Tribolium castaneum: one gene and its partners. The protein of the gene in region 3 interacts with the protein of the main gene of each other region in a biochemical or structural test. Links are inferred from orthologs where the notes say so. Each region holds a gene or a part of one and is shown on either strand. Other genes may lie near its edges. The genes, in order: Mitf, nop5, lwr, REG, cact, ftz-f1 and Top1.

Evidence for each region.
Region 1: the proteins of lwr (region 3) and Mitf form a complex in vitro, tested with the Homo sapiens proteins (2 studies listed by BioGRID). The link is inferred for Tribolium castaneum from reciprocal best matches to the Homo sapiens genes UBE2I and MITF.
Region 2: of the proteins of lwr (region 3) and nop5, one has a biochemical effect on the other in vitro, tested with the Homo sapiens proteins (2 studies listed by BioGRID). The link is inferred for Tribolium castaneum from reciprocal best matches to the Homo sapiens genes UBE2I and NOP58.
Region 4: of the proteins of lwr (region 3) and REG, one has a biochemical effect on the other in vitro, tested with the Homo sapiens proteins (2 studies listed by BioGRID). The link is inferred for Tribolium castaneum from reciprocal best matches to the Homo sapiens genes UBE2I and PSME3.
Region 5: of the proteins of lwr (region 3) and cact, one has a biochemical effect on the other in vitro, tested with the Homo sapiens proteins (2 studies listed by BioGRID). The link is inferred for Tribolium castaneum from reciprocal best matches to the Homo sapiens genes UBE2I and NFKBIA.
Region 6: of the proteins of lwr (region 3) and ftz-f1, one has a biochemical effect on the other in vitro, tested with the Homo sapiens proteins (2 studies listed by BioGRID). The link is inferred for Tribolium castaneum from reciprocal best matches to the Homo sapiens genes UBE2I and NR5A2.
Region 7: the proteins of lwr (region 3) and Top1 form a complex in vitro, tested with the Homo sapiens proteins (2 studies listed by BioGRID, with this or other methods). The link is inferred for Tribolium castaneum from reciprocal best matches to the Homo sapiens genes UBE2I and TOP1.

What each region holds. Positions count from the first base shown.
Region 1 is NC_087403.1:4,082,622-4,086,905, forward strand, and holds the start of Mitf (microphthalmia-associated transcription factor), read left to right. Parts: upstream 1-1,484; coding exon 1,485-1,642; intron 1,643-3,522; coding exon 3,523-4,030; intron 4,031-4,284. Other genes in the region: CtsL4 (procathepsin L), read right to left, coding at 1-26, 73-233, 279-414, 458-705, 886-1,035, 1,081-1,182. UniProt on the Homo sapiens protein: Transcription factor that acts as a master regulator of melanocyte survival and differentiation as well as melanosome biogenesis.
Region 2 is NC_087394.1:30,826,772-30,830,650, forward strand, and holds nop5 (nucleolar protein 58), read left to right. Parts: upstream 1-1,319; 5' UTR 1,320-1,486; coding exon 1,487-1,531; intron 1,532-1,587; coding exon 1,588-1,664; intron 1,665-1,716; coding exon 1,717-3,265; 3' UTR 3,266-3,323; coding exon of another isoform or gene 3,324-3,358; 3' UTR 3,359-3,379; downstream 3,380-3,879. Other genes in the region: transcriptional protein SWT1, read right to left, coding at 130-285, 334-481, 538-1,008; TH1 (negative elongation factor D), read right to left, coding at 3,324-3,358, 3,406-3,535, 3,581-3,721, 3,770-3,879. UniProt on the Homo sapiens protein: Required for the biogenesis of box C/D snoRNAs such as U3, U8 and U14 snoRNAs. Part of the small subunit (SSU) processome, first precursor of the small eukaryotic ribosomal subunit.
Region 3 is NC_087399.1:9,254,058-9,258,016, forward strand, and holds the start of lwr (SUMO-conjugating enzyme UBC9-B), read right to left. Parts: upstream 2,801-3,959; 5' UTR 2,653-2,800; intron 2,601-2,652; 5' UTR 2,594-2,600; coding exon 2,528-2,593; intron 2,479-2,527; coding exon 2,395-2,478; intron 2,343-2,394; coding exon 2,080-2,342; intron 1-2,079. Other genes in the region: transmembrane inner ear expressed protein, read right to left, coding at 2,939-3,024. UniProt on the Homo sapiens protein: Accepts the ubiquitin-like proteins SUMO1, SUMO2, SUMO3, SUMO4 and SUMO1P1/SUMO5 from the UBLE1A-UBLE1B E1 complex and catalyzes their covalent attachment to other proteins with the help of an E3 ligase such as RANBP2, CBX4 and ZNF451.
Region 4 is NC_087395.1:26,223,515-26,226,616, forward strand, and holds REG (proteasome activator complex subunit 3), read left to right. Parts: upstream 1-1,302; 5' UTR 1,303-1,380; coding exon 1,381-1,440; intron 1,441-1,486; coding exon 1,487-1,837; intron 1,838-2,212; coding exon 2,213-2,575; 3' UTR 2,576-2,602; downstream 2,603-3,102. Other genes in the region: coiled-coil domain-containing protein 34, read right to left, coding at 1-13, 60-789. UniProt on the Homo sapiens protein: Subunit of the 11S REG-gamma (also called PA28-gamma) proteasome regulator, a doughnut-shaped homoheptamer which associates with the proteasome. 11S REG-gamma activates the trypsin-like catalytic subunit of the proteasome but inhibits the chymotrypsin-like and postglutamyl-preferring (PGPH) subunits.
Region 5 is NC_087395.1:1,382,329-1,386,477, reverse strand, and holds the start of cact (cactus), read left to right. Parts: upstream 1-1,349; 5' UTR 1,350-1,579; coding exon 1,580-1,926; intron 1,927-4,149. UniProt on the Homo sapiens protein: Inhibits the activity of dimeric NF-kappa-B/REL complexes by trapping REL (RELA/p65 and NFKB1/p50) dimers in the cytoplasm by masking their nuclear localization signals.
Region 6 is NC_087394.1:11,117,257-11,120,756, forward strand, and holds part of ftz-f1 (nuclear hormone receptor FTZ-F1), read left to right. Parts: coding exon 1-606; intron 607-3,500. UniProt on the Homo sapiens protein: Orphan nuclear receptor that binds DNA as a monomer to the 5'-TCAAGGCCA-3' sequence and controls expression of target genes: regulates key biological processes, such as early embryonic development, cholesterol and bile acid synthesis pathways, as well as liver and pancreas morphogenesis.
Region 7 is NC_087398.1:8,304,785-8,309,042, forward strand, and holds the start of Top1 (DNA topoisomerase I, mitochondrial), read left to right. Parts: upstream 1-1,458; 5' UTR 1,459-1,564; coding exon 1,565-1,606; intron 1,607-1,899; coding exon 1,900-2,455; intron 2,456-2,630; exon of another isoform or gene 2,631-2,778; coding exon of another isoform or gene 2,779-2,783; intron 2,784-2,830; coding exon of another isoform or gene 2,831-2,910; intron 2,911-3,867; coding exon 3,868-4,142; intron 4,143-4,251; coding exon 4,252-4,258. UniProt on the Homo sapiens protein: Releases the supercoiling and torsional tension of DNA introduced during the DNA replication and transcription by transiently cleaving and rejoining one strand of the DNA duplex.

The DNA of each region.
Region 1 (4,284 bases), on a different chromosome or scaffold from region 3:
AGGCCACGTCGTCGTACACACCAGAACTGCGATAGTTTTATAAATAAGCAAACAAAAAAAATAATTACGTACTGGTAAAGTTGGAAAGTGTGAGGGCTTGCATTGATGGACGCTGCCACGGGCCCGATTTTAGCCACAGCTAGTTCCAAAGCCCTTTCATCCCTTGCGGGCAAAACCGCCCAGGTGGTCAAGTTTACAATCGCTCTGTGCTTATCAAAGCGACACCTTTGTTGCTACAAAAAAGTCAAAACAAGTAATACATAACTAACAAAACGTACTCTGGCCAAGTAAGGGTAGTCACTGTACGTCATCAACCCCCCGGCTTTCTCCAAATACCGCAAGGTGTTTCTAAGTGAACCGCCCCCGCAACCATAATTACCCATGGAGACGCTACAGTCGACGATTTGCTGCTCACTACAATCCAAACTTACTTCTGTTCCCACCATAAAATAATTACCTCAAGGGTACCAGTTTTTCGGTTTGTTTAAAAATTTGGGCTTGTAAGACGCTGGCAATGCTGAAGGCGTAACAAGAGCCGCAGTCTTTCTGATTGTATGAGGGTGTTTCAAACCCTTTTTCCACCCAGTTGACTTCTTCAGGGATGTGGTGGAGGAGCTCGAACAAGTCACCCACCACCTCAGGGTCGACCTTGCGGTGGGTGCTCTTGGTCAGCTTAACCATTTTTTGCAAATAGCTCTGTGTACTCTACAAAAATAACGTTCTAAGCAGCAAACTAACGACCTATTTATTTTCGTATGCGAGCTTTGAAAGCTCCTTTCAGGAGCTCAGACGACTTTCCCCGAAAGGCAAAGCTGGCATTAAAACTGAATACGCAGTAACGCAAAAGTTTGATTTGCAATCCGGAAATATAACAAGAAAGCTTACCATGTCGCTTAAATCATTCTCCTTGATGTAATAGGAATGCAGCCCTTTGTCGGCTTCTTCATTATGCTTCTTGATTTTCTCCAAGTTGGATTGCCAGGCCAATTTCCGCGAAGTATCGAGATATCCGTAGTAGGTTTTATTGTACGATTGCTGAAAACAATGTTGGCTGAGTTTGAATTGAGCTGTTTTTTCTACCTTAAACTTCTCCCATTGTTCGTCTAAAGAGGCGCCATTTTCGTGAAAGTGGGCCAATTTGGCCAAAACCGTAGCCAAGGCAATAATGAGGATGGTTTTCATTTTCGCAATGTGTCATTTTTGTAAAATAGCTGAGTATAAATCGCGCAAAAATTGCTTGTAGCGCGATTTTTGAATGGATGGGAGCGTTCCAATCCCACTTAAGCGAGAGTTGCGTGCGCAAATTCGACTTTGTCCATGACATTGTTATGAGGGAAACTCAGTCTCGAGTTAGATTTTAATAAACTTCGGCTGCTGTTTGGCTGTCGGTCGTCCAAACAGTCCGTCGGCGGATTAGAAGAGATATGCCACCGACCAACACCACCTAATTATCCTAAACAAATCTGTGCATTGAGCTGTGAAAAATGGCCGAATCTGGTATTGATTTAGGTTACGATCTGTCGGCTCTCTTGTCCGACGATTTCGATATAGAAAGTGCGATTGATTTCGATGATCTCTTGGGTACTCCGAAAAATCAAGAGTTTTACGAACTAACTTCTAAAACAATGCCTGTAAACGAAAGGTGAGCCAAAGAATAATTATCCGGAGCCTAATAACTCACGTGAGCCGCTGATTTAATTGTTTAATGCATAGTTGTGTCACCGAGGCAAGGAAAAGGGCTAAACAAAATCATGTCGAAGAATTTTACGCTTGCTATTAATAAACCAAATACTATACTAATATTAAACTTTTTGAAGTACTGCCAAACATCACCTTTCTGCGCTAAAGGATTTCCTCCGCAAAAATTACTCATCCAGCGAGCTTATCAAAGGATGTACGGTTTTGAGATAGAATTTTTTTCTCACTCTGTTCAGCTTTGCTCCCTTTAATTAGAGAAGGAATGCTAATTTATTTTCCATGGTGCAATGCAAGATAGAACTGGTTATTGCTGTCGTGTACCAAATTAAAATGTCAAGTTTGTTCATAAAATTCGCCCAAATCGATTTCTTACAGCCACACGTTTCAATGGACAAAAGAACCATCATTTTGGCACACGTGCGTTCGCTTTGGCAACGGCCGGACAAATAGCGCGCCAATAAATTTATCAAGGGTATCGATTTATTCCCAAAACAAGCCATTTATAGACGCAAAACCCCAAATTCAACAATGCGTTCTACGCGCTCATAAAATCCGTAACCTTTTTAACTTATTCTCTCCAATTACAGATAATGTTATTCTCGATATCACTTCTTAGAAACTCGACTACATATCGAAATTCGTACGCATTGTTTATTGTGCTTATTTTACGACTAACCCCGCCCCCATGCTCTTCTTGTTACGCACATGTGTATAAACGATTTCAAAATTTTTTATTTAAAACGTTGCTAAACACGAAAAATCGTATCCTGATTGCTGAAATTAATTAATTGGGAAGATATTGCAACGAAACTCAACTTAAACAAAATATTTGATAACATCATTAATTAATGGATGTAGCGCGATAAGTATTTGACTATTTTGTGTCACGCTGTAGATGTGGACTTGCTAATTAAATTGTTTACTTATCGTTTTACCATTTGTCAATGCCATTATAGTTTCGAATCTAAGCCCGGTTGTGTGAAAATTTTCAATTAAGCGAATTCATAATGTAATAAATGGGACTGTGTGAAACGCTCTTCTCTTTGTGTGCCTGTTAAGCTGACTCACAATTTAGAGCAATTCCCCATATGTTATCATCTGCATATTTAATGGGACGTGTTATTGACGTCAACAGTAAATATTATACACATATTCTTGATTTGCCCGCCCTGGAGCCGGTTTAGGGTCACACTTGAAAAAAGTGCTCTTATTGGTTGTTATTGGGCGAATCCACTCCCAACCATAAACCCGGCCAATACGAGCCGTTCAGGAAACACCACAAAAACTATTACATGTCATAGATAATGAATTTTAAAATTGTGGATATTTTTGATCAGATTTGGGATTAAAAAAATAAACATTAAAAAATTTGCTAATGAAGCGGCGTAATTAGGTCTTAAAAAGCTAGTATTTGTTTAAGTAATTGAACCAATTGCCTCGCATTAACTTTATGTTTTAATAATGAAATCAGCACTCGTGAGCCCAGTAAGCACACATATAACGTTTTTTTAACGTTACAACATCGTACGTTGTAAAAAACTGAGCTTATTCTTGCATTTACTTGTGGCAATCGCTATAAAATTTTAAAACTGATATTAAAAAAATTGAAAATAGAAAAAGCAATTAAAATCTTAACCGTCCTACGGCTGTCTAAAAACCAAATTATTGACCAAATAATTGTTGACGTTGATTACTGGTTTTATATTTTCAAAATCGTTTAAATAGTTACTAAAAAAACGTTATTTCCGCGTATATTTTTGCGTTTTATTAACGTAATTTTTACGTTGGTGTGCGTACTGGGGTGACTTTGCCCGTTTGTTCCAGTCCGCCGAACCTAAAAACCGCCACCCCATTGTCCCGAACGCAGTTGAAGCTGCAGCTGATGCGCGACCAGGCGCTGATGGAGCAGGAAAGACAGGCCCAAGAACGAGCAAGACAAGCTCAAGCCATGCAACAAAGACCGCCAGCCTCAGCCATGAAAGTGCCATTGCACAGTTTAGCGGTAGAGGTTCCTCCCCAAGTTTTACAAGTTCAAACAAAACTAGCAAATCCTACTAGGTACCATGTGATACAGAAACAGAAAAGTCAAGTGAGGCAGTATCTCAGCGAATCATTCCAAGCTCCGGGCAATGCACACTTCTTGAACAATTTGCAAAATCCGGTGCCGCAAACGCACAGCGCGCCCGGAATTGCCGGTGCTCCGGTACCTTCCGCCCCCCTAATGCCGCAGCAGTCCCTTGCTCACTCGCACCCCTTTCAAGTTTCGTGCCCTAGTCCTGAGGCTGTGGCCATGTCCCCAGCGCTCAGCTCAGGCGCCACCAGCACCTCTGAGGTAAGTTTGCGCAGGTTGGGCAACCGCATTTATTCACTGGTTTACACCATTAAGTTCCGATTATTACGTTACACAAAAATTAAGGCCAACTCTTTGCTATTAATAACGATAATAAGAGAAAATAAGAAAGAACAAACAAAATTGACAATGAAATAAAAGTTTCGGATTTTGTAAAACGCTACTGACCATTAAAATGATTAAAAACTCATCACAGTTTTTTCGTACTCGTAATGGTACTTGCATTTTTTATTACT
Region 2 (3,879 bases), on a different chromosome or scaffold from region 3:
TATCCAATGAAAAAAGTACCGTGAATTTTTTGTTTACTAGAGCGACTCATGTTAAAGAATAAAAATAAAGTTCAATGGTCATAATAAAAAAATGCAAACACTTCTACGTGAAACATTGTTTCAGTATACCTTTCATTCTATTATGTTTACTACTCATAGTTTTTTCTATTAACTTGATGGCATCTTGAGCTTTCTGTCTGAGGCTACGTTTGTTTGAATCGCCCTTTATAAAGTCTAACTCTTCTGTAACAATCCAGGGAATGAAAATGACTGGCTCCCTGGGTCCTATAACAAGTGTGATAAATATTTATCCATTGTTACACATTTCTTTACCTTTAACAGCTAATGTAACAATGTTAGCAATTATATTCAGCTCTGATAAGAATATATTCGTGTCAACCACAATATAAAACTGACAAGAACTCGTAATTTGTGAATTTAAAGTATTATCACTTGTGCTTTTGGACTCCTCAATATCAGTCTAAAAAGACAATTAACTAGAATATTAAACTGAATAATTAAATCAAGAGAGTATACAGGACACCATTCCATATCCTCTTCTGAAACAACTGCTGTCTGTTGAAAGCCAACAGCAAATGGATTTGGAGATTCAGTGGTAAACACATTCGTTTGTGTTAGAAACTCTTCTTTAAAAATGAAAGGAGTTCCAGGTTCACTGTTCGAACATTCCCCTGAACTCGAGGCACTTTCCTTAATAAACAGTTTTGTAGACACTTCATGTTGCACTGAATCAGTTGGTCGTTTCCGCACACAATTCTTGTCTTTAAATTTTGGTACAGATTGAGCAGATTTTGAAACTTCTTCATTTAAGCTAGTCCTAAGCCTCTTTAACCTTTCATTAGCTATGTTCTTTTTCGGCGTAACACTAATGGTACGTTTCGTTCCATGTTTTAAATGACTATCCTCTTGAACAATTTTTTCCGGAAAAATTTTAGGATTCCTCTCATTTTTTCGTTTGGCTACGAGGACTTTTCGTTTGTCTGACATTTTAATTTTTAGCAAAAAAAACTTCTTTTAATTCATTTTCAAATAACAATTTTCTGTTTTCTCGCAAATCAGCTGACAACAACAACAAAACGCCATCTTAACTTGATCACGTGATATGTACAATGCACCCGAATTCGACCTGTTGTTAAGATCGACTTAACCGAATGTAGGTGAAACTGAAACTTTTTTACAAGTAACCAGTTAACGCCAGTTACTAATTACAACTCCCACACATACTAAAAAGAACTTGGGTTTTTGTAAACTGGTGTCAAATAATCTTAAATCTGCTTTATTTAGATTTACATTGGAAAGGCACGTGGGGGAAAGAACCAAGAGTTGGTAATTCTTGGGGAATTCGTGCGAGTCGACAATCTCGCCGACGCGCTAGACCTCATGGTTTCTAATTGTTGCCGGTTTTTATCGTTAATATTAAAAATTGGTGGGTTTTCATATAAATTGTTGTAATACAAAGTGAAAAATGTTGGTCTTATTTGAGACAGCGGCAGGTTACGCGCTGTTTAAGGTAATTCTGCAGTAAAGTTGTTGACAAACTTAACCTCAAATTTTCCATGCTTTCAGCTTCTGGATGAAAGCAAATTAAAAGAAGTTAACAATTTGTACCATGAATTTGATTCACCCGAGTCGGCAGGAAAAATGTACGACCTGTCCTAGTTTCAAAATGCAAACTTATTAGTAAAATTGTTTTAGTGTGAAGCTGAAACATTTCGAGAAGTTCAATGATACCACTGAAGCCCTGGCTGCCACGACTGCAGCCGTCGAGGGCAAAGTCTCGAAAAGCTTGAAGAAGGTGCTGAAGAAGCACATCGACCAAGAATTGCAGGACAAGCTGCTTGTGGCCGACGCCAAGTTAGGGTCTGCCATTAAAGAGAAGTTCAATTTACAATGCGTTTCGAATACAGCTGTCCAGGAGCTGATGCGGTGCATTCGGTCGCAATTGGACAGTTTGATAACGGGGTTACCTAAGAAGGAAATGACCGCGATGGCGTTAGGTTTAGCTCATTCCTTATCACGGTACAAGTTAAAATTCTCGCCTGATAAAATTGATACAATGATAGTCCAAGCGGTTTCGTTGCTTGATGACCTCGATAAAGAACTCAACAACTACATAATGAGGTGCCGCGAATGGTACGGTTGGCACTTTCCCGAGCTTGGGAAAATAATCACTGATAACGTTGCGTTCGTCAAAACTGTTAAAATCATCGGAACGCGTGATAACACCGCCAGTTCTGACCTCTCCGACATTCTCCCCGAAGAAATTGAGGAGAAAGTCAAGGAGGCAGCTGAAATATCAATGGGTACTGAGATATCCGACGACGATATTTTAAACATTCAGAACTTGTGCGACCAAGTTGTAGAAATTTCCAATTATCGCACCCAGTTGTACGACTATTTGAAGGCCCGTATGATGGCGATGGCCCCAAACCTGACAACGTTGGTTGGGGATTTGGTGGGCGCTCGTTTGATTTCGCACGCTGGGTCTTTGATAAACTTGGCCAAACATCCGGCCTCCACGGTGCAGATTTTGGGGGCTGAGAAGGCGCTATTCCGAGCCCTCAAGACCAAGAAAGACACCCCGAAGTACGGGTTGATCTACCACGCCCAGTTAGTGGGGCAAAGTAGCACCAAAAACAAGGGGAAAATGTCTCGAATGTTGGCGGCTAAAGCAGCCCTCGCAACTCGAGTCGATGCTCTAGGCGAAGACGGGAATTTCACGCTTGGGGCGGAGCACAAAGCCAAGTTGGAAGCACGTCTTAGAATTTTGGAAGAGGGGAATTTGAGGAGAATTAGCGGGACGGCGAAAGCCAAGGCCAAGTTTGAGAAATATCAAGGGGTTTCGGAAGTTCAGCAGTATCCTGCTGCTGCCGACTCGACGTTACCTTCGACTTCGAAGAGGAAGAGGTCAGAGTCGGAGCAAGTGAAGGAGGAGTTGAACACGACTCAGGAGACTCCCAAGCAGAAGAAGAAAAAGGTCAAGACGGATGAGACCAATGACAGTATCAAGGAGGAGGATGAGGACAGTGGTGAGGGCCAGAAGAAGAAAAAGAAGAAGAAGAAGGCGAAAGAGGAAGCGGAGGAAGAGGTGGAAGCGGAAGTTAAGGAAGAACCTGAGGTGACGCCTGGGAAGAAAAAGAAGAAGAAGAAGTCCGAGAGCGAAGCTCCGCCTGAAGTTGTTGAAGAGCCAACAAGTGGAAAAAAGAAAAAGAAGAAGAAGAGCATTTCCAAGGAAGATGAATAATTTAGCGGAAGGTTTTTTATTTTTTACAATAATAGACATTCTTATTATTAAGGTGCTGTTATACAACAGCGGTGTAATTTGCTTTGCAATAGACTAAAAACAAACAATAAGAAATTGATTTACCACGTTTTCCCACTCACCGATAAATTCAGACACGGGGTCGTTCTCCCCATCTCCTCTCATTGTTCCCGTAATTTCGTCATTTTCAACCATTGGCATAAATAAGTGGACGAATTCGGAGCTATAAGGGGGCCCGATGGTCTCCAAAACCTACAAAAATTGCATTTTCCGGTCATTTTTAACAAAGTAACTTACTTCCGTTACAAAGTAACGAATCAGGGATATGTCCGTGTCGCCTTTTTGCCAACACTGTTTTATGTACTTTACAACGGGTACCACACATCCAGCACATAGCAAATTTACCATTCTGTCAAGGACCATTTTGCGCATTTCAAGCTAACAAAAAAAAAACTGAAAAATATCGTAAAAAAATTGATAACTTACTTGGACTAAAATTTCCAGTTCGTCTTGCTTGGATTCAAACAACCTGATTAGTAAGTCGAGTACTTGATTATGGAGAAGAGGGTGACAAGTAACTACTTCATCCAAGAGCG
Region 3 (3,959 bases):
TAAAAATTTACCAACAATTTTTTTAAATTCATTGCTCTGAAAACCTGATGCTAATCAAAGCCAGTAGATATACTAAAGTAGCGACACGGACCTTGACAGGGCAACAATAACGATTATACACTCTACAGATGGCTCCACCATCAAAATTCAAAAACGTACGTCAAAAATGTCAAGATTTTTTCACGTTTGAAAAATTGGTGAATCAGAACAATGAATTCGGTGATCGTCTTTAATTTCACCCTGGTTATTACAGTTTATGTGTACAGATACCATGAAACCTTCAAACTTGTGCTTCACTCACGTAAAAGTAAATCAGATCGTCCCTAAATTCAACTGAACATTGCAATGAGAAAGGCTTTTAGAATGCGCAGAATACAGCAACTCTTATGGACATTTCGAAGAAGGTGCTGGCGCTTCAACAGTGAATTCATTCCTTAAAAGAATTTGAACTTTGTATTTAACGAAAAAGCCAAAAACACGTTTCAAAATAATAGTTGTTTGATTTAAAAAAATTGTGATACTTACATTTCTAATTTTAATAAACTCCTCTCTAAGTGTTTTTACAGTTTATCGTATGTAATTACTCCAAGATTTTAAATTGGTCGATTTATTTTTTTTTAATTAAATTTAATTTTTTCCCTCAACACTATTAACAACTGCTATGAAACCAAGACATTTTTCGCAATAAGAATAGAAAATGTTTTCAATATTACCCGAGAGGTAAACCGCAGAGGAAATCAGTGTACAAAATTGAGTAAATCAAGAAATTTTAAGGAAATCACTTTAAAAATTTAGGGAAAAATCAGAAGGAATCATGATTAAATTACAGGTGTACAAAATTTGGGGTACGGTTTACACCTCGATATTACCTAAGAAATAGAAATAATACAACCTGAATTTCTCTTTATTATTTAAATGTTGCATACCATAGTTGCTGTAAATAAGTGGCTATAAAAAGTCCACCAAACTTCGATGCGCTACAATTCCCAGATTTAGATGCATTAAATTTTGTGAAACGAAGGTCAGTGTAAGCAGAGCGGTCTTAAATTCTTTCCCATTAGGACAGAATCTAATAATTTAGAAGAATTTTCAAGGAAGTATTGTTTAAATCTACCTGAAATACTTATTGAAAATTTGGTATCTTAGAAATTTCTCTTTCAAGTTGGTACCTAACACTTTATGTTTCTGAAACAATTTTTGTTTGAATGAGTTTCCAGTATTCTCACACAGACGTGCTTCGTAATGTGGACGACTTTGAACAGTCTGGAGGCCCTTTTGTTTAATGTTTTTGGTGTCGATTTATTATTTACGTGATTTAAGCACAGGTTTGAAAGTTCCATGAAATCTGTTCATAACCAATAACCACAGTAAAACTACAGATGAACGCCAGAATCACTGTGCTCTTTACCAATTTTTCAAAAGTGAGAGAATCTTGACAGTTTTGACGTATGTTCAAAATTACTGACAATTTGGCGAACCTTTAAAATTACAGCGTTATTACAAAAAATGTCGAGCCTTGGAAAACTAAACTGCCTGTTTAAATACATTCTCGATTTAAATCTATCATCTAATGTGACCTTTAACGAATATCTCTTTAGAGCATCCCCTTTAGCAATTTCATTTAGTGAAGATTAAACGTAGAAACAGAGACAAAACGCACTTACTAAGGCTTTTCAAGGCTACGCATTTTATGTAAATAATGCGGTATATGTCGAATTTCGATAGTTGCGCCCTCTCTAGAGTATATAATCGTTATTGTTGCCCTGTCAAGGTCCGTGTCGCTACTTTAGTATATCTACTGGCTTTGATGCTAATGGATCAACTGCGCCCTCTGGTGACATTAACGGAACTATCGAGGACAATAACGCTTTATTTGTACTAATTTGTATTTCGTATCCTAACCTTTAGATGTCCGTAGTGTAACCTTGTCCATTTATTGTCTTAGTGCCTTTTCTTTACGAAACTAAGTTTTCATTTTCATGGATTACTAGATACGAAATTTCCTTGATCACGTGATCACAATATCCACAGCACTCTTGACTACGTCAAATGTAAACACCCCGTAAAAAAACCACTTACCAGTAGATTGTGTAGGCCTCTGCTTGTGCTGGATCTTTAACATTGGGTTCATTCAACAAGTCCTGAATTCCGAGTAAAATCTGCTTAATAGTAATCGCCGGTCTCCAATCTTTCTCCTCGTCTAACAACGACAAACACACCGTACCTGACGGATACACATTTGGATGGAACAACGGTGGTTCAAATTTACATTTTGGGGGAATGCTTGGGTACTCATCTTTGAACAACATGCGTAATTTGTAATTTCCACCCTCCCATGGCGTCTACACAACAATGCGATAACCCAACAATTACTAAACAATGCAACAAACTTACCCCTTTTTTACCAGGAATTGAGCACTCCCAGTTCATTAGATTTAGAGAGCCATCTGGGTTTTTCGACGGTCGGGCCACAAATCCCTGCGGAGAAATGGATTACATGAGGGCAATTTTGTAAGGAATTACTCACAAAAGGATGTTCTTTGCGCCAAGCTTTGCGTTCTTCGGCGAGACGAGCGGGAGCAATTCCAGACATCCTAGAACTAAAAATCAGGCTCTACCTCAAAATTATCGCACGAAATGACCAAAACGTACTCTAAAAGTGGGCACTGGGGTATTTAATGGGGCCTTATTCAAACTCTAAAGGAAAATTTAACGGGCTTCGGTGCTTTCTTGACAGTTGACAGACAAAAACTGGGAAAACAGGTAGGGGAATTCGCGCAGACGCGACTTGTGTTGGCCACCCTGTCGCCGATTATTTGTTCCAGAACAATTTATTTATTCAAACTTTTCGTGTATGATTTTAAACAAATTTAACGAATACAAAAACCCGGATTTGTGTAATAATTATTTGGCGGCAAAAACATTGGCGCGAATTTGATTAGTTCGACGTCACTTGCTGCAAATCAACTTTTGCCTGGATCTTGGCATTTTCTTGGTCAAAATCCTCCTGAATGAGTTTCAAGGCTGCAAAAAATTAATAATTAGGTTCAATAAACCGTAAAATACAAGGTGGCTCAAAATTGACGATTTCGGAGTTCAGAACACTAAAGAGAAATTAATTCAGTAGTTCAAATACAGAAAAAAATAAAGATTCGGGGCTTTCCCATAAAGATACATTGGTTTGAGGGTGCACTTTAAATTGCGTTTTCTTCAAATACAGGCTAAAGGTTTCAGTGCTTATTGTTATTTATGGTAAACTACAGGCTGTTCCGTCTAAACCTTACTTTAGAAGTATTGAAAGCTCTAATAAAGAAATTTTTTAAAAGTTGGTAGTCAATCATAATCCGTTAAGTTCTGCCAATGAAAATATTTTCAAGATGGCAGCATTTCCGGTTATACCGGAAGTCGCTGTTAACTTTCTTATTTTAAATGAAAAGCTATGTTTTTCACTGCGTTTTTGGATTAGTTGAGTTATTTTAAGAGTTTTCCCTATACCTAAAATTTACCGTTTTTAGGATATTTAAGATTTTTTGAAAATTTTTGGATTTGCACCTGTCACTTAAAAAATTGGTAACTCGGTTAGTTTAGCGATTTGGAAATCATATTAGGAGAATTAAAAAAGAAGGCCTTTATCTGTTCTTTGGTGTGTTTAAAATTGAAAATGAAGTTAATAAACCCAAAAATTTTAAGGTTAAGTTTGGACAATTTCAGGTACCTATAACTTAATTATTTGTTATTCTTTTTTAGAAATTTGAAAACGCCAAAGGAAAGTTCTAGGCTTCCTCTTTTAAATAAGCTGAAAAAGATTTAAAATCTTTTAAAAGTGGTAGAGTTATCAGTTTTTGAACTGGAAGGTGCAAATCCAAAAAAAAATTAAAAACATTTTGTAATATTTTGTAAACGAATAAATTTAGGTTTAGTGAGAGCTTATGAAAAGAACCTTAAAATAACTCTAGTAA
Region 4 (3,102 bases), on a different chromosome or scaffold from region 3:
GACGAACAAAGGGCTGAAAAAAATCATTAAAACGTGCCCTAAACCTGGAAGTAAATTACATTCAAGTCCTTTATTCAAAGGGATTGGTTTTTGCCGATGTTTGGAATTTTTCAGCCACTCATTGAACGCTTTTTCATTGTCCTTCAACTGTGTTTCTTTGCGTTCCAGCTCGTTGATCAAATCCATTTGTTTCTTAATTTTCTTTTCCAAATTCTCTTCTTCCTTCTTTTTTAACCAGAGCTGAAAATTGAGCTGATTTTCCAACTGGCGTTTCTCCTTCTCCAACTCTTTTAACTGCTTTTCTTCCTCTTCTTTCTCTTTCTTGCGTTTCGCCTCCTCCTCCAATTTTTTTTTATTCATCAACCATTTCCTAAAGTTATCTCTCTCTTGCTCGAGCAATTTTTCCTTTTCCTTCTCTTTTACTTTCGCTTCATCGACGATTTTCTGCTTCTGAACTTTCTTCCTCGTCTCGTCTTCTTTCTTGATCAATTTTTTGATTTCGACTTTGGAATTTTGCGACACTTTGGTCTTACTTTCGGGCAGTTTGAGCACTTTTCTTGATTCTTTCAAAATAGGAGGACAATCGGCATGAAAAGGACACGTCTTCTGGTCTACAGAACAAGTGCAACGTTTGGTCTTTACTTCCGGAAAATCCTCAAGCGAGGATTTTCCCGCAATCGAAGTGTTTTCACTTGACACATTCGCCGAAAGCGGCTTTTCCACGTAAATAGCCGAGTTTATGAATTTTCGTACGACATGAGTGGAAACTCTTCGATTGTCTTCTGACATTTTCAATCAAAAAACAAAGACAGGGGCGTCAAACAATTCAAACTCGAAATTTTCGCGCATTTCGCGTTCAGTGACTTTGGTGAATCAACGAGCGCGTCCTGGCGTTAGCCCTTTTTTTTGCATGCGGACTGTTTTTACGTTTTATTTTTTTTAACAATTAACCAGATAAACCAAAACTTATAGAATTGTTTCATATTTTTTTTTGGCAACTCGAGGCCAATTTGGTCGCTAGTTTTATTGCCAACCTAAATCGCAAATCGCGAAATCACGCTGTAAATATTTGTTGTATAGAAATTCCAGATCAGTGGGATCAAATTTTAGCAATCTGGCACAAGTTGTTGCATGATTCAATTAGTTGTTGATTTGGTGGATTGGGGATCGCGTCCTGGTGCTAGGCCCAATTCTCGTCCTTTCTTTTGCCATTGCCCCAAACATTTAGGTTAAGTCAACTCAAGTGAACAGTTCAAAAGTTAGTTCTAATTGTATATTATGGCAGATGCAAAAAAGGTGAGTGGGAAAAAAGGCGCGTGCCGATTCAGCTCCGCACGATTTCGTGACAGTTTTGTCAAAAACTGGTCAAAATTTGAAGTGATGCCCTCTTCGAGCTCCATTTCCGTGGAGGGCTGGGACGAGGAGTCGGCCTACCACGAGGTCTCGATAGCCCCCTTGTGTGTGGTTGATAGTTGCGTTTTCGCAGGTGTTGGAATACAAAGACAGTCTGAAGAAAGAGGCCGAAGAGTTGCTGCTTAAGGGGTTCCCCGCGACGATTGTGAAGCTCAACGCTTTGCTAGAAACGCCCCAGTTCAAAAATCGGAAATTCACTGACGTGCACCAGGAGCTGAACATCCCGGTGCCAGACCCCATTTTGCTCAACAGCCACACGGACCTGCCTCCAGCCAAGAAGGCCAAGTATGACAATAGCATATCGCAAGACGGCACCAAGGTCATGATCCTGCCCACGGGGGCTGTGCCCACTAACAAGCATCTGGTCGAGTTGGTCGAGGCTGTGAAGCCCCACATCCGCAAACTGGTTGAAGACTCCAATACTGTAAGTTGGCATGGTAACCATGCCAAAATTTGAATGATCTAGTCTCACAAGTATTCCACAGCCTACTCAATGCACATTCCTGTGAACAATCGGAACTTATAAAATGTTCTTAACTGCCTTTAATTGTTTAAATGACAAGCAAATACATCATAAAAAATTTAGATAATACAATTAAATTTGTGAACACGGATAATTTTCAGAAAAAACAATATTTCTGAGCCTTTTCGGAGTTACATACGTAATTTAGTGTTTGACGTATTTTAAAAGCGGCACTTGTTTTTTGTATTTTATTTTATATTCTAAAAGAAATGATGCTCTTATGTTAAAGTATTTTCGTTGCGAGACGAGGGACGAGTGTTGTGAATTTTTTTGCAGATGAAAATGTGGATTTCTTTTATGATTCCGAAAATCGAAGACGGCAACAACTTCGGGGTGTCGATCCAGGAGGACACTCTGGCCGAGGTGCAGTCGGTGGAATCGGAGGCGGCGGCGTTTTTCGATCAAATCTCGCGATATTTCATTTCTCGAGCCAAGGTCATCTCGAAAGTGGCGAAATACCCGCACATAGAGGACTACCGAAGGGCCGTGCAGGAGCTGGATGAGAAGGAGTACTTGAGTTTGTGGTTGGTCATGTGCGAGATCCGAAATCGGTATTGTGCCCTTCACGACATAGTTATTAAAAACCTCGACAAAATCAAGAAGCCACGTTCCACTAATGCTACTGAATCTTTGTACTAAAACAGATAAATAAATGCATCTTTCGAATTTTGATTTTTGTAAAGTGTGTACGTGACAATGAGTATTATACAATATTTTCGTAATAAAGTTATTGTGAGTTTTTTTATCTGTAAGGGAACTTGTAGTGACACTTAGCAGTGAGTAGCTGTTGGGGTTATTTTTTATTTAAAATAATACATTTCATAAATAAATTATAAAACGACTTTTTATTCCAAATGCTACACTAGTACATACTTTTCGTAACTGAGTTTTCTAACGGTAGGTATTAGAGTGAATACGAACAAATAGAATCGTTATGAGATGATTTTTTGTTTGTTGCTTGCTCTAAGTCTTCCACTTTCCGAGAAAAAAACACAATATAATAATTCCGAAGTTATTGCTCATTAATGATCCGGATACCCAGAATCGACCAAGATCTCGACAAAAATTGAAAAAATCAAACTCCAAAAAACCGAACATACCTATGCAAAATGATCCGGGGAATCGATTGGAATCAAAAAAAGCGCTAAATTCCCAATAGTTTTTTA
Region 5 (4,149 bases), on a different chromosome or scaffold from region 3:
TTTTTTGGCAATGTTAGGGCATTTTATTTGACGTTCAACAAACTTAACCTTAAAAATTTGGATTTGTGAACTTTTGTGGAAATCTCAAAAAAGTAAAGAAAAGAACTAAGCTTTCTCTTTCAAATGCCCTAAAGACGATTTCAAAATCTTTCCAAAATTTTTTCATGGCCTACTATAAAGAAAAAGCGAAATGTTATGTTTTTTAATATTTAAAAATAATGTATTACACAAGTAGACATATCAAATCAGAAAAAATAAGCTTTTCAAAAATATCACAGCCGCCTACAGTTAAACGAATGGTTGAAAAAAATCGCTGATAACATTATTAGATTCTCTGTAAAAAAGTGTCTGGATAGTGTCTTTGTTTCAGATGTGTATCTTTAATAATAAGGAAGCAATGAATTTTTTAAACGGACCCGAAAATGTGCCACTAGTTTTTCTCTAAACCTCTTGGTTTCGGAGATCCCCTATTCGGACATCCAAAATATCACTCTGTACATATTAGTGTTTCCCAAAGGATTCATGTTTTTTTACAATATTGTTATTTTTATTATCTCACATAAAGTAAAAATAACTGCTAAAAAAACACTGATTTTGATGCATTTTCGGAGTTCGTTATAACCGGACTCAAGTGTAGTTTGAGTTTTATCTCTTCCAAAGTTACCAATGGTACCAATTTCGCAAAGTTTAAATTTACCAAATTTACAAATTTTCTCAAAATTTTCTCATCATAAAAATGCTCCCCTGTAAAAGGGTCTTAATCAACTGTCATCTGATATTAGTAGGCTGTGTCAGTTTTGATATTTTAACAAAAATTTGTTGATATACCGAGTTGATAATAAAGACAAGTTACGATAAAGTTTTTCAAAATTTAATGAGTATTTGTGTCGAACAAATTAATTTAAAATTTTGGAACACATTAAAACGAATTGTCAACAAAATGTCAAAAATGACAAACAAACATAATTAAAAAAATGAAAAAAAAACAATTCTTAGTAATGAAATGAACCGTGATTCAATTTTATTTTCTTAATCTAAAAGAAGTTAAATAAATCATTGCGTTTTTTAGGCCATCACATAAATGCTCCTGTGTAAAGTGGGTTTAAACATTTGTCAAATTTGGCATATCTACTTGTCATTTTTGACGGTTTTATAAAACCAATCGTAAAAATAGAAAAAACTCGTCAATTTGTTAGTGTCATTCCACCCTGGCGCTCGAAAATCGGTCAAATCCTCCCCTCTTCTAATTTAAACTGGCGCCACGTCACAGCGCATGTCTGGGGAATCCCGAACTTGTGTTGGGTGTCCACCACACGCGATCGCGTTCATTTCTTCAACCAGTCGCCGAGAATCCATTTTCGCGTGTTGACGTAACGAACCCAACGACCCAAAATCGAAAAAACCATCGTCGAACCATTTCCAACCACCCCTTGGTCCAAGTCCCAAGTGTCTCACGGCTGTCTTTGCAAAAAGTCGCGTGTTGTTTTGGGGGCCGCCATTAGAAAGTAGTGCGTGCGGACTTGTAGCCATTTTGTGTAGACTGCTGTACTTTTAAGTGTGTTCGCTTATTATCGGGAAAATGTCCGGGAAACAGGATAAGAAAATCCCCTCAGTTCCAGATGAAGGCGCTGTGAGCGAAGAGGAAAAGTGCGCCCTTGACAGCGGCTTCATTTCCGGTGAGCTCCGCTCCGAGGAGAAAATCACAGAGGAGTTGCCCCAAATTGAACAACCACAAGAGAACTACATGCGTCTGGACAGTGGCGTCGACTTGTCAGAGAGTTTTTCCGGACTCCATATCAAAAATCCGGACTGGAACGATCTCTCCTGTGCTAAGAGTAAAGTGCAGGAACCACCTGTTGAAACACCAACGACTGCCAAAGACGACCTCTGGAAACAGTATTTCCAACAGGATGAGGATGGCGATACGTAAGTCTTTAGTTTATCGAAGGGAAAAACTAAATGATAGCCGGACGACCTTTGACCCACTTGTTATCGCTTAGTTCATTCAGTCTTCAAACCAGTTGAAATGAATCAAACAGTGGCGCAGCGAAATTTTTTGCTATTTTCATTTTTTACTCCACCATCCAGGTGGTTGTGATTTTGGAAACAAGTTGGCAACACTGATTACCACATTTAAACGTCACAATTTGTGGTTAACTTTCATTTTTTACTCCACCATCCAGGCGGTTATGATTTTGGAAACAAGTTGGCAACACTGATTGCCACATTTAAACGTCACAATTCGTGGTTAACTCATAACAATTTTTTATGACGTTTTAGGAAACGTATCAAAGTTGACAAATTTCAAATTAAGTTGGCAATGTCATAGTTAGATTGGCATTCGTTTACGATCAGTTGTAGCAATAGATTTTTTCATTTGTTTATTAAAAATGAAAAAAGTCTGATCATCATTGTTGCCAATTTAATTTCAATGCTTAGTTTGCTTTTACAAAAAAATTAATCTTGTGTGAAATCATCGAAACGGAAAATTAAGTTGGCAACATTAAATAAGACCTGAAGTTTTAATTTGGCAACATTGTTAAAATTAAGCGGTCCAAGTCGTGAATCAGTGTTGTCTAAGGTTTTTCGGGTTTTTTTCAAAATTATTTAAAATAATTAATATTACCAACTCAATTAACAATAAAGGGTGGCCAATTTAATTTCAGTAGTATTATAGGTCTCTTACTTAGTTGCATTTCACAAACAAGTTAATCTTGATTCTGTAAATAATAAATTTGTCCTCGTAAAGACTTCATTAATTCTATTTGTTTTGACATTTTTTCGTTTAAAATTACAATTTGCATATGGCATGAGTTGACACTGAAAACGCAATTATCCTTAATTAACAAAATGTTTTGTTTGCAACATTGATTAAAATTTAAAGAAAATATGGAAAATTAAGTTGGCAACATTAAATAATAATCGGAAGTTTTGATTTGGCAACATTGTTGAAGTTAAGCGGCACAATTGTGGATCAATGTTGCCAGAAGTTTGTTTTCACAATTATTTAAGAAGGTGGCATTTAAATATTGCCAACTTATTTCATACTAAAATAGAGAGAAACAGGTAAATAGTAGGTATGGTTTGGTAAGTTGTCATTTGTTTTCACAGACATTGTTGCCAATAGTTTTGTGAAAAAATTGCATTTCTCACTCAACACATTGTCTAACGTTTAGAAAAGGTAAAATAAAATAACATTTTAGCCTTATTTTGTGATTTTTTGGCTTGGTTTAGTAAAGTGTTGCATAAAAAAAAATGAATTTTTAGCTCAAAATTTTAATAAATTTTGGTGAAATGATTTTCTATTTACCTATTTTTAACGAAATTTTGGAACATAATTGCGTTTCTATGTGTTAATAAAATCACTTAAAATTAAGTTGGCAATATAATAGACTGTCAGTTTTAATAGTAAATTGACATTTATTTACGATCGGTGTTACCATAGTTTTTTTATTACTTATTTTTAAAAATTTTAAATTTTAAAATTTAAAAAAGTCTCATATCTGTTGTATATTTTTTACATTAATCAGAGTTGCCAATTAAACATAGATTTCTTTTGTAAAAATCGTAAAAAGTAGTTGTATCACGTGTTTAATTATTATTGCAATGAAATTAAGTTGGCAACATTAAGTAATCTAGGAGTTACTGGAAATAATTAGGTTGTCAAGTTAGCCTCAAATCTTCAATTTTTAATTTGGCAACACTGGTCGTAAAATACTGTAATAAGTTGTCATTCATTTGTGACAAATAAATCACTATTGCCAATAAATTTTCTTATTACAGTTTCAAATTTACTTCGAAATTAAGTTGGCAGTATGGTATGTCAAACTCCGTGATGCCAATAGATTTTTTAAAATTATAATAATTTATAGCATGTCTTTGTTTCGACATTGATCAATGATTAGTGTTGCCATTGTAATTTAAAAATCATCATAGGCTCTTTGCATTAAGTTGGCAACATTGAATTTAAATTAACATAACTGTGTTTTTTTGTTAAGAAACTTTTATTTAACAAGAGTGACAATTTTATAGTCAATTGTCATTTATTTGCAACAGACACATAGAAGTTGCCAGTGGTGCCAAAAGATTTTTTATCACAATCATCTGAAAAAATATTAATGTTGCCAACTTAATTTGCACAAAAAATGA
Region 6 (3,500 bases), on a different chromosome or scaffold from region 3:
ATGCGACAACGACAGCTGGCGGCGCAAACGCTACGGGGAAGCTCTCTCGGTGACGCCATGTACAGCAGCCAGCCCGGAACATCACCCTTCGCCAACATCCACATCAAGCAAGAAATCCAAATTCCGCAAGTGTCATCTCTAACATCGTCGCCCGACTCGTCGCCGAGCCCCATCGCCGTCGCCCTGGGCCAGGTCAACACCTCCAACCTGGTGCAGCAGGCGTCCAGCCAGCAGCCGGCGCTGCAGATCGTCGGGGTGCCCGGGGGGCCCTCCTCCATGGTGATGGGGCCCGACAACAAGCTCTGGGGCTCCGCCAACTCCACCACCACCTCGCCCCACTCGCTCAGCCCCAAGGCGTTCCAGTTCGACACGGTGGTGCAAGGGGGCAGCGCGCCGCCCTCCAGTAAAGTGTCGCCGCTTATCAGGGACTTTGTGCAAGCCATCGACGATCGCGAGTGGCAAAACTCTTTGTATACTTTACTCCAGAACCAAACGTATAATCAGTGTGAAGTGGACTTATTTGAACTTATGTGTAAAGTTTTGGACCAAAATCTGTTCTCTCAAGTCGATTGGGCGAGGAATTCTGTGTTCTTTAAGGATCTCAAGGTTCGTATCCCGAAAAAATGCCTCAGTTTTAAATTACCAACCGTTTGTGTGTTTAGAGGTATGTTAAGGTTGTTCACATTTTTCACGCATTTATTATTTTCACATTCAACATTCACAATTCGTTAGCTTACAGTTTAGCTAAAAAATGTCATAAATCAGACTGTCAACCCTTTATCGTAAAACCCTGTTTTGGGGGGATTTTGATTGTGTCAACATTACTCAACAGGTGGTTGGTAATTTAAAATTGAGTCTTTAGTTTGCCCTTTTACAGCCCCGAAAAAAATAATTTTTAACGTTTTTATTAATTACGTTGAAGAAAGTTAAGTCAAAACATATGAAGACTTTACTTTGCATTTCTAACTCCAAAAAGCTACAGAAATAAACAGTAAGGCTTCGGAAGTTCTCTTCTTTAAATGTACGGACGTTTAACATTACTTGAAAGTAATGTTCTGTGAAACCTTTAAATTTAAAAATATTTGCTGATTCTGTGCTGAAAATACTTGCGGGGTTTGCGCAGCAAATATTTGTTTTTTACCTTTTTAGCAAAACTGTTTGTTTAACAAAATTGTTTGATTACAAAATGAAATATATTCTAATCCTAATATTACAGTGAGACCTCGATACGCCGAACCTATATATATCTTGAAATTTCGTTCGAAAATTATTTACTAAAAGCAATAAATGTATAATTTTTCAAAGCTTTTTAGGTTGAACATATTTCCGGTTCATCTGAGCAGAAATCTACATAAGTCGTTTTTTTTTACTTCCCACCAATTTCATTTCTGCGGTATGAACTTTTAATAAAACAACAACACTTTCAATAAAATATATTGTAAATGCTCTGGAGACTGTGACGAAATTTACACAATATTCAGGCCCTGGCCTATGAAAACTTTTCGAAAAAAAAAAAATAAAAATGTGTTATTCTTTAATGAAAGATTTTTTTCTGTCAACCTAAACACAAATGAATAAAATCAATGTAGTAAAACCTACAATTTTATTTCATATTTACATAAAAAATTGTGATAACTGTGCTAATACATATCGACTGTATCTTTTTACATTTTATTATTTTACTCCAAAATAGTACATTTTCCAAAAGACTTACAAGGGACAAACTTGTTTTTTAAACCAAATGGGCTTTCAAATTTCAACCAAAGCCAATGATTCTTAACTAATTGGTGCCATAAAGCTATAAAACAATTTATGTCAAGAAGGCCCTCAAAGTCCCCTTCAAAAATGTTCTACAACATTAAAATATACATTTTTAAAAAAGACTAAATGCCAAGTTTTAAAAAAAATGGCTGAGAATTTTTAATGTCAAAAAATATAATCTGAATTTTTTTAGGTAATTTGTGGAGGCTATTAGTAAAAAACAAGAAAAAACAAATTGTTAGATCTATTAGCACTATTTCAAATTTTGACTGTTCTCGTGTTTCCTATTTATTTATAATTTATTCGTATTTTCAAATAAGTATTTAGGCTTTGTGTTTAACTTTGCCCATACTACAAATTAATCAAAAAAAAATCAACTTTTTTTGTTGTTTGCAACACTTCAGCAGGATATGGTGTTTGTTGACAAATATTTTGACATCAGAAGATTATTGGTTATGATTCTATTTAATTTGCATGCAGATTGAAAAGCTGTTAACAAAAAAAGGTCTACAAAAATTATACCATTTAAAAATAAAATTCAATAACTTTTGATAAGTTTCTTTAAGTTTGAATAGCTTAATTCATTCATATTAAGTATTACGGCTTATTACAAATAACACCCTGTACAAAGTGTTTTAATTTTCCGCTGTTTTTTAATTGGGTTCCAGGATTTTGATAATAACTTCTCGCATTTATTAAGTTGTGGGGCCCATTTTTGTTTTTATTTTTCACATTATGATGATAATAATAATACTTTGATAATTTTAAAGTTGAAAGAGAGGGTTTGGGAGTAAAAAAACCGATTGATTTTTCGGTCGAAAAGTTCAAAAAATAGAAGAACAAAACATTTTTATTATAATCATTTTTATATTTTTTTGACAATTATTTTTGTTTTTATTTTTCACATTATGATAATAATAATAATAATAATAATAATATGATAATTTTAAAGTTGAAAGAGAAGGTTTGGGATTAAAAACACATTATGATAATAGTAATAATAATAATAATAATAATAATAATTTGATAATTTTAAAGTTGAAAGAGAAGGTTTGGGATTAAAAAAAAACGATTAATTTTTCCGTCGAAAAGTTCAAAAAATAGAAGAACAAAACATTTTTATTATAATCATTTTTATATTTTTTTGACAATTATTTTTGTTTTTATTTTTCACATTATGATAATAGTAATAATAATAATAATAATTTGATAATTTTAAAGTTGAAAAAGACGGTTTAGGATTTAAAAAAACAACAATGAATTTTTCGGTCGAAAAGTTCGAAAAATAGAAGAACAAAACATTTTCATTATAATCTATAAACTATAAAACTATAAAATCGAGAATGTAATTAAAAGAGAATTTTTAAACACCTACAAAGAACCAACTATTTCAAATTTGGATCTAATTTCTTTTGCTTAAATGCCGATTTCATAATATACTCAAAAGAATATAAAGTAACACATATGTGAAAAAAAAAAAAACAGAAAATGAAAAAATAGAACCGAAAATTCAATAAATAATAATCTATCGACCTGGATATTTTCAAGTTTAATGGTTAAGTAATGCCGAAACATGTAGGTACTTTACCTTTATTAAAAAATCAAACAATTTTTTTATTTCTTTTTTTGGTAATTTTTTCGTTGCAAGTTATATTTGTAAACATAAACATGAAATAAAAAAAAACCTTTTGCCAATAAGTTTGTAACCCAGTTTTTGGTAATTAGCACAAATTATTTCT
Region 7 (4,258 bases), on a different chromosome or scaffold from region 3:
CTGCTATAGTACTGCTTTATGGATTATTCCTTTTTTTTATTATTCTTAGGTGTGCCGTTTTAAGGAATTTGCGAGTTCGAAAAAAATAATGAACCTGAACACGAAGCAAAAAAAATATTAAAAAAATAGATTCCACCTATAATTTGCTTGTACAGTGGGCCGCAAAAATATGGAATAATCTTATTAAACAGAATTTAAAATTTTTGTCTTGGTTTTCGAATAACGTCGCTATCGACACATTTTTTTTATGAAAACCTCTAATTTTCTTTGATCGTTTCAATAAATTACATGTTACATCTTATCTTACGTTTAAATACTACCAAAAAACAACACAATAAATTTGTTATTTCACCAAATGATCATGGAAATAGATTTCAAACAAAATCTTAATAACTTTTTTTGTTAAGAGTATTTTTATCAGTTCTTTCGTTTTTCTTTTAAATATATTAAGTAGACAACTAAATTTAGAAGACTTGCCGCTCACTGTATACATTGTACAAATATTTTATCTATTATATTTGAAGCTTATTCCTCTTTTCTGAAATATATTTGAAAAGAGTTCCGGTATTCTCAATATTCAAGCGTTTATCGTGGGCGATGTCAATCTCATATTTTTCAGGATTCGTTTCTATTGAAATCAATACGTTTTCAGTAAATAGTTATAAAAAATTGCTACATTTATGATTTTACTTGTCTAAAAGTAGAACTGAATAGCATTTCTAAATAATTTTAAATGCCATTTAAAGCATACAAAAAAATAGCAGCTGAAAATAAATTCTAGAAGTTCGGTTTTCAAGACGTCAGCCGAGTCTTATTTGAAAATAATGCCACAAATCAAATCTCTGTTTAATTTTTTACCAAATAGAAAAAACCCGAAGTCGATTGACATTGCAGTTTTGCTTTCAGGCGCTTTAAAACGTTTACACTTTAAGTAAATATTTTAAAAATTGTTGGTCTTAAAGTGGAACGCGGAACATTTTTCTCTTTGATGTAAGGAGTAAGCTATTTCTGGTGCTATTTCTAAAAGAGGTAACAAAAGGAAACAATTCGAATGAGTTTTCCCAGAAAGTCAGGTAAACCTGACAATAATAGAAGAAATTTTTGAAACAACAATAGGTAGCTTTTCTCAGCTCGAACTAAATTTACACGTGTTATGTGGGAGGAGGTAAAAAAAGTGTATTCGATGATCTTGTTCGAAATATTACAATGCAACAAGTGCACAATACTTTACGTAACCGTCCCATTAAACATTAATTCCAAAAAACGGTCCGCAAAAGCTGTGCATGAACCCAAAAGTGCGCTCATCCTCTGACTCATCATCGATTAAAGCCATGAACTTTCTCCCGAATCTCTGCAATAAATTTCAAGCAGCTGACTGTGACATTCGTCTACTTTTCAAGTTCAAAGTTGAACGCACGAAATTCAAATCCTGGCGCGCTACAGGTTATTGCCTCTGAGTGCGGCGCGTGCGCACTACGCAAAATCGCGTACTTTGTCATAAAAGCGTTCGCTGCGTTTCCCCAACGAGGATTCTAAGTGTTTGCCTCGTTCAATCTGTGAAGCGATGGAAGTCGAAAACGGAGCAAATGGGGAAGATTCCAGTCCTGTAAGTACAAAATCTCGCCTAGAATTTAATTCCGCGAATTTCGGCTCGTCCACATTTTCCCGCTTGTGTGAAATAAGGGCGCTTTCCTCGTGCTCTAACAGCGTTCGAGCGAAATTTTTCTAAGTCCCAAAATGGCGTCAGAGACTAAGTCCCACGTTTGTGGCATCAGGTCTAGAATTTTCTCGCGATAAACCGAGATTACGCATTTAAACGGCTTCTTTTCGCTGCTTTCGGTTCAATTGGGGCGAAATCGAGGGGGGCTCCATTTATAATTTGCACGTTTTTTGGTGCAGAGCCACAAGATGAAGGAGTATAACAGCGATACGGCCCAAGTGAACGGCATAAACGGCTACTCGGACAAGAAGAGCCACAAATCGGAGCATAAAGACAAGCACAGAGACAAGGACCGGGAGCGAGACAAGGAGAAAAGTAAAAGCAAAGAGCACAAGAGCTCGAAGGATAAAGACCGGCATAGCTCCAGTTCGAAGGACAAAGACCGAGATAAGGAACGCCACAGTTCACACAAGTCCTCAAGTCGGGACAAGGAGCGCAGCGACAAGGACAAACACCGCGACAAGGACAAGCACCGGGACGAGAAAAAGTCCTCGAAGGACAAGGAAAAGGAGCACAAAAGCTCGCACGATAAGGACCACAAGTCGAGCTCGAAAGACAAGGAGCGCAAGGATAAAGACAAGCACAGCTCCTCGAAGGATAAGGACAAGGACCGCCACAGCAGCTCCAAAGACAAGCACAGAGACAAGGACAAGCATCATTCCAGCTCCAAAGATAAAGACCGGAAGGACAAGAACAAGGAGCGGAAGAGCGAGAAAGAATCGGAGAAATCCTACGGTAATTTAACTTTTACCTCATTTGCTAAAAAATTATTTCCAGAGGGCGTAAAGCATAAAACACATCTGCAAAAATGGCCAAGGGTTTGTATCCAAATTTTCCTAACTAAAATTTTAACAAAAGTAGTGGCTATTGTCAGTTTTTGTAGGTGTTATTTTTTGCTCTAGGCCTAAACCTTGCACTCTTTAACTAAAAATGTTAAGTTTGAGCACAGTTTCATCGTATTGTTATTGTTTTATTGTGTCCATAGTTTCGAGTCAGTTTGATTTGACAAAATTTTTGTAAATACAAATTTTTAGAACGCTCGAATCATTATTTTCAACATGAGGTAAATAAAAACCTACTCGAGTTTTTAATCACTGTAATGGCTTGCAGGTATGTAGATAAGGCATGTTTGAAAAATGTAACCATCTTCGTAATTGTGGACGAAAATCAATGTTTTTTGACGCAAGCTGGTACGTAATTTTAATTGTCTTTAAGTCACTCACCGACAGGACTAATACGGTTTTTGAACGCTTATTTATGCATTATTTAAACAAAAACAATATTCGAAGCTGCTCATGCATTTTTTTGCTTTATATTATGCGAAATAACGAAGACATTGTATTGAATTTTAAAATTTTTGTAACATCCTTTAAGAAACGTGTTTTATCCAAGACATTGAAAAACCAAGCTCACGTCTCACTTTGAAATGCAAACTACGAATGTTCGAAAACAATTCTTATTTTTGCAATAACTAGATTTAGACCATATGTAGGTTGTTTGTTCATTTTGTTGAGGAATAAATACACGAAGACCCGAAACAACTTTCAGTAATTATTGAAATAATTGATTTAATTAATTTATTATGTCGTTTGTTATTCTAAAATGAGCGGTTTTAAGCACCTTGACATTTTTTATCAGTGTTTTAAAATATCAAATGATATATTTGTGATTGTCCCGCATCTCGTTGATGTTAATTAATCATATCTTGTTCATGTGTGATGGAGTCCTTAGTATATAAAAAAAAATCACTTAATCCATCATTAGATCATAATTGGCAACAGTTTATTATTTAGTCAAAATGTTTATTTAATTAACAAATTGTGAATTAAAGGTTTCTTTGCATTTGCTGTAGATATAAATATTATTCTCTGTAATTGGGTTAGCAATTACTCTTTGATATGCAACAATTTGTTAGATAGTTGTTAATTACCAGCAGATTAACTTTCGTATCTTGTTACGATTTGGAAGAAATAAATTAAAAGAATCGGTTCATTACATAATAAAAATTAAACAATTCGGAGTCCAATTTTCTAAAACTTGGCCAAAATCCAATTGGGACAAGTGACAATAATTTTAACTAACCGTAAAATCCAATTTTACACATTTTACGCGAATGGAATGTTGATTAAACAATTTTTTACTGTCAGACGATGAGAGAGAAAAGAAGAGTAAGAACCATTCAAAACATGAAAACGACGTGGGAAGAGAAGATTCCGCAAGAGAGGATTCGGTCGATGAAGATGATAACAAACTCATCATCAAAGAAGAGCCCGAGTCTCAAGATGAAGTCGACGACAAAAATGCTTCAGCTGCGAGCAGCTGTGATTACAATTTGTCTCAGTTTAAATCGGACGAGTCAAGATTTGAAGATAGCACTGCTGATGTGAAGCAGGAAGAAGACAGCGATGAAGATTTGCCTCTGGTAGGTGTTTCATTCAAGTTTATCGTCTTTACGTAAATAAAAATCATACGATTGCTAAGGACAATAATTTGTAATCTTTGTAGTCATTAATGTTCAATTGTATTTTCAGCGAAAAC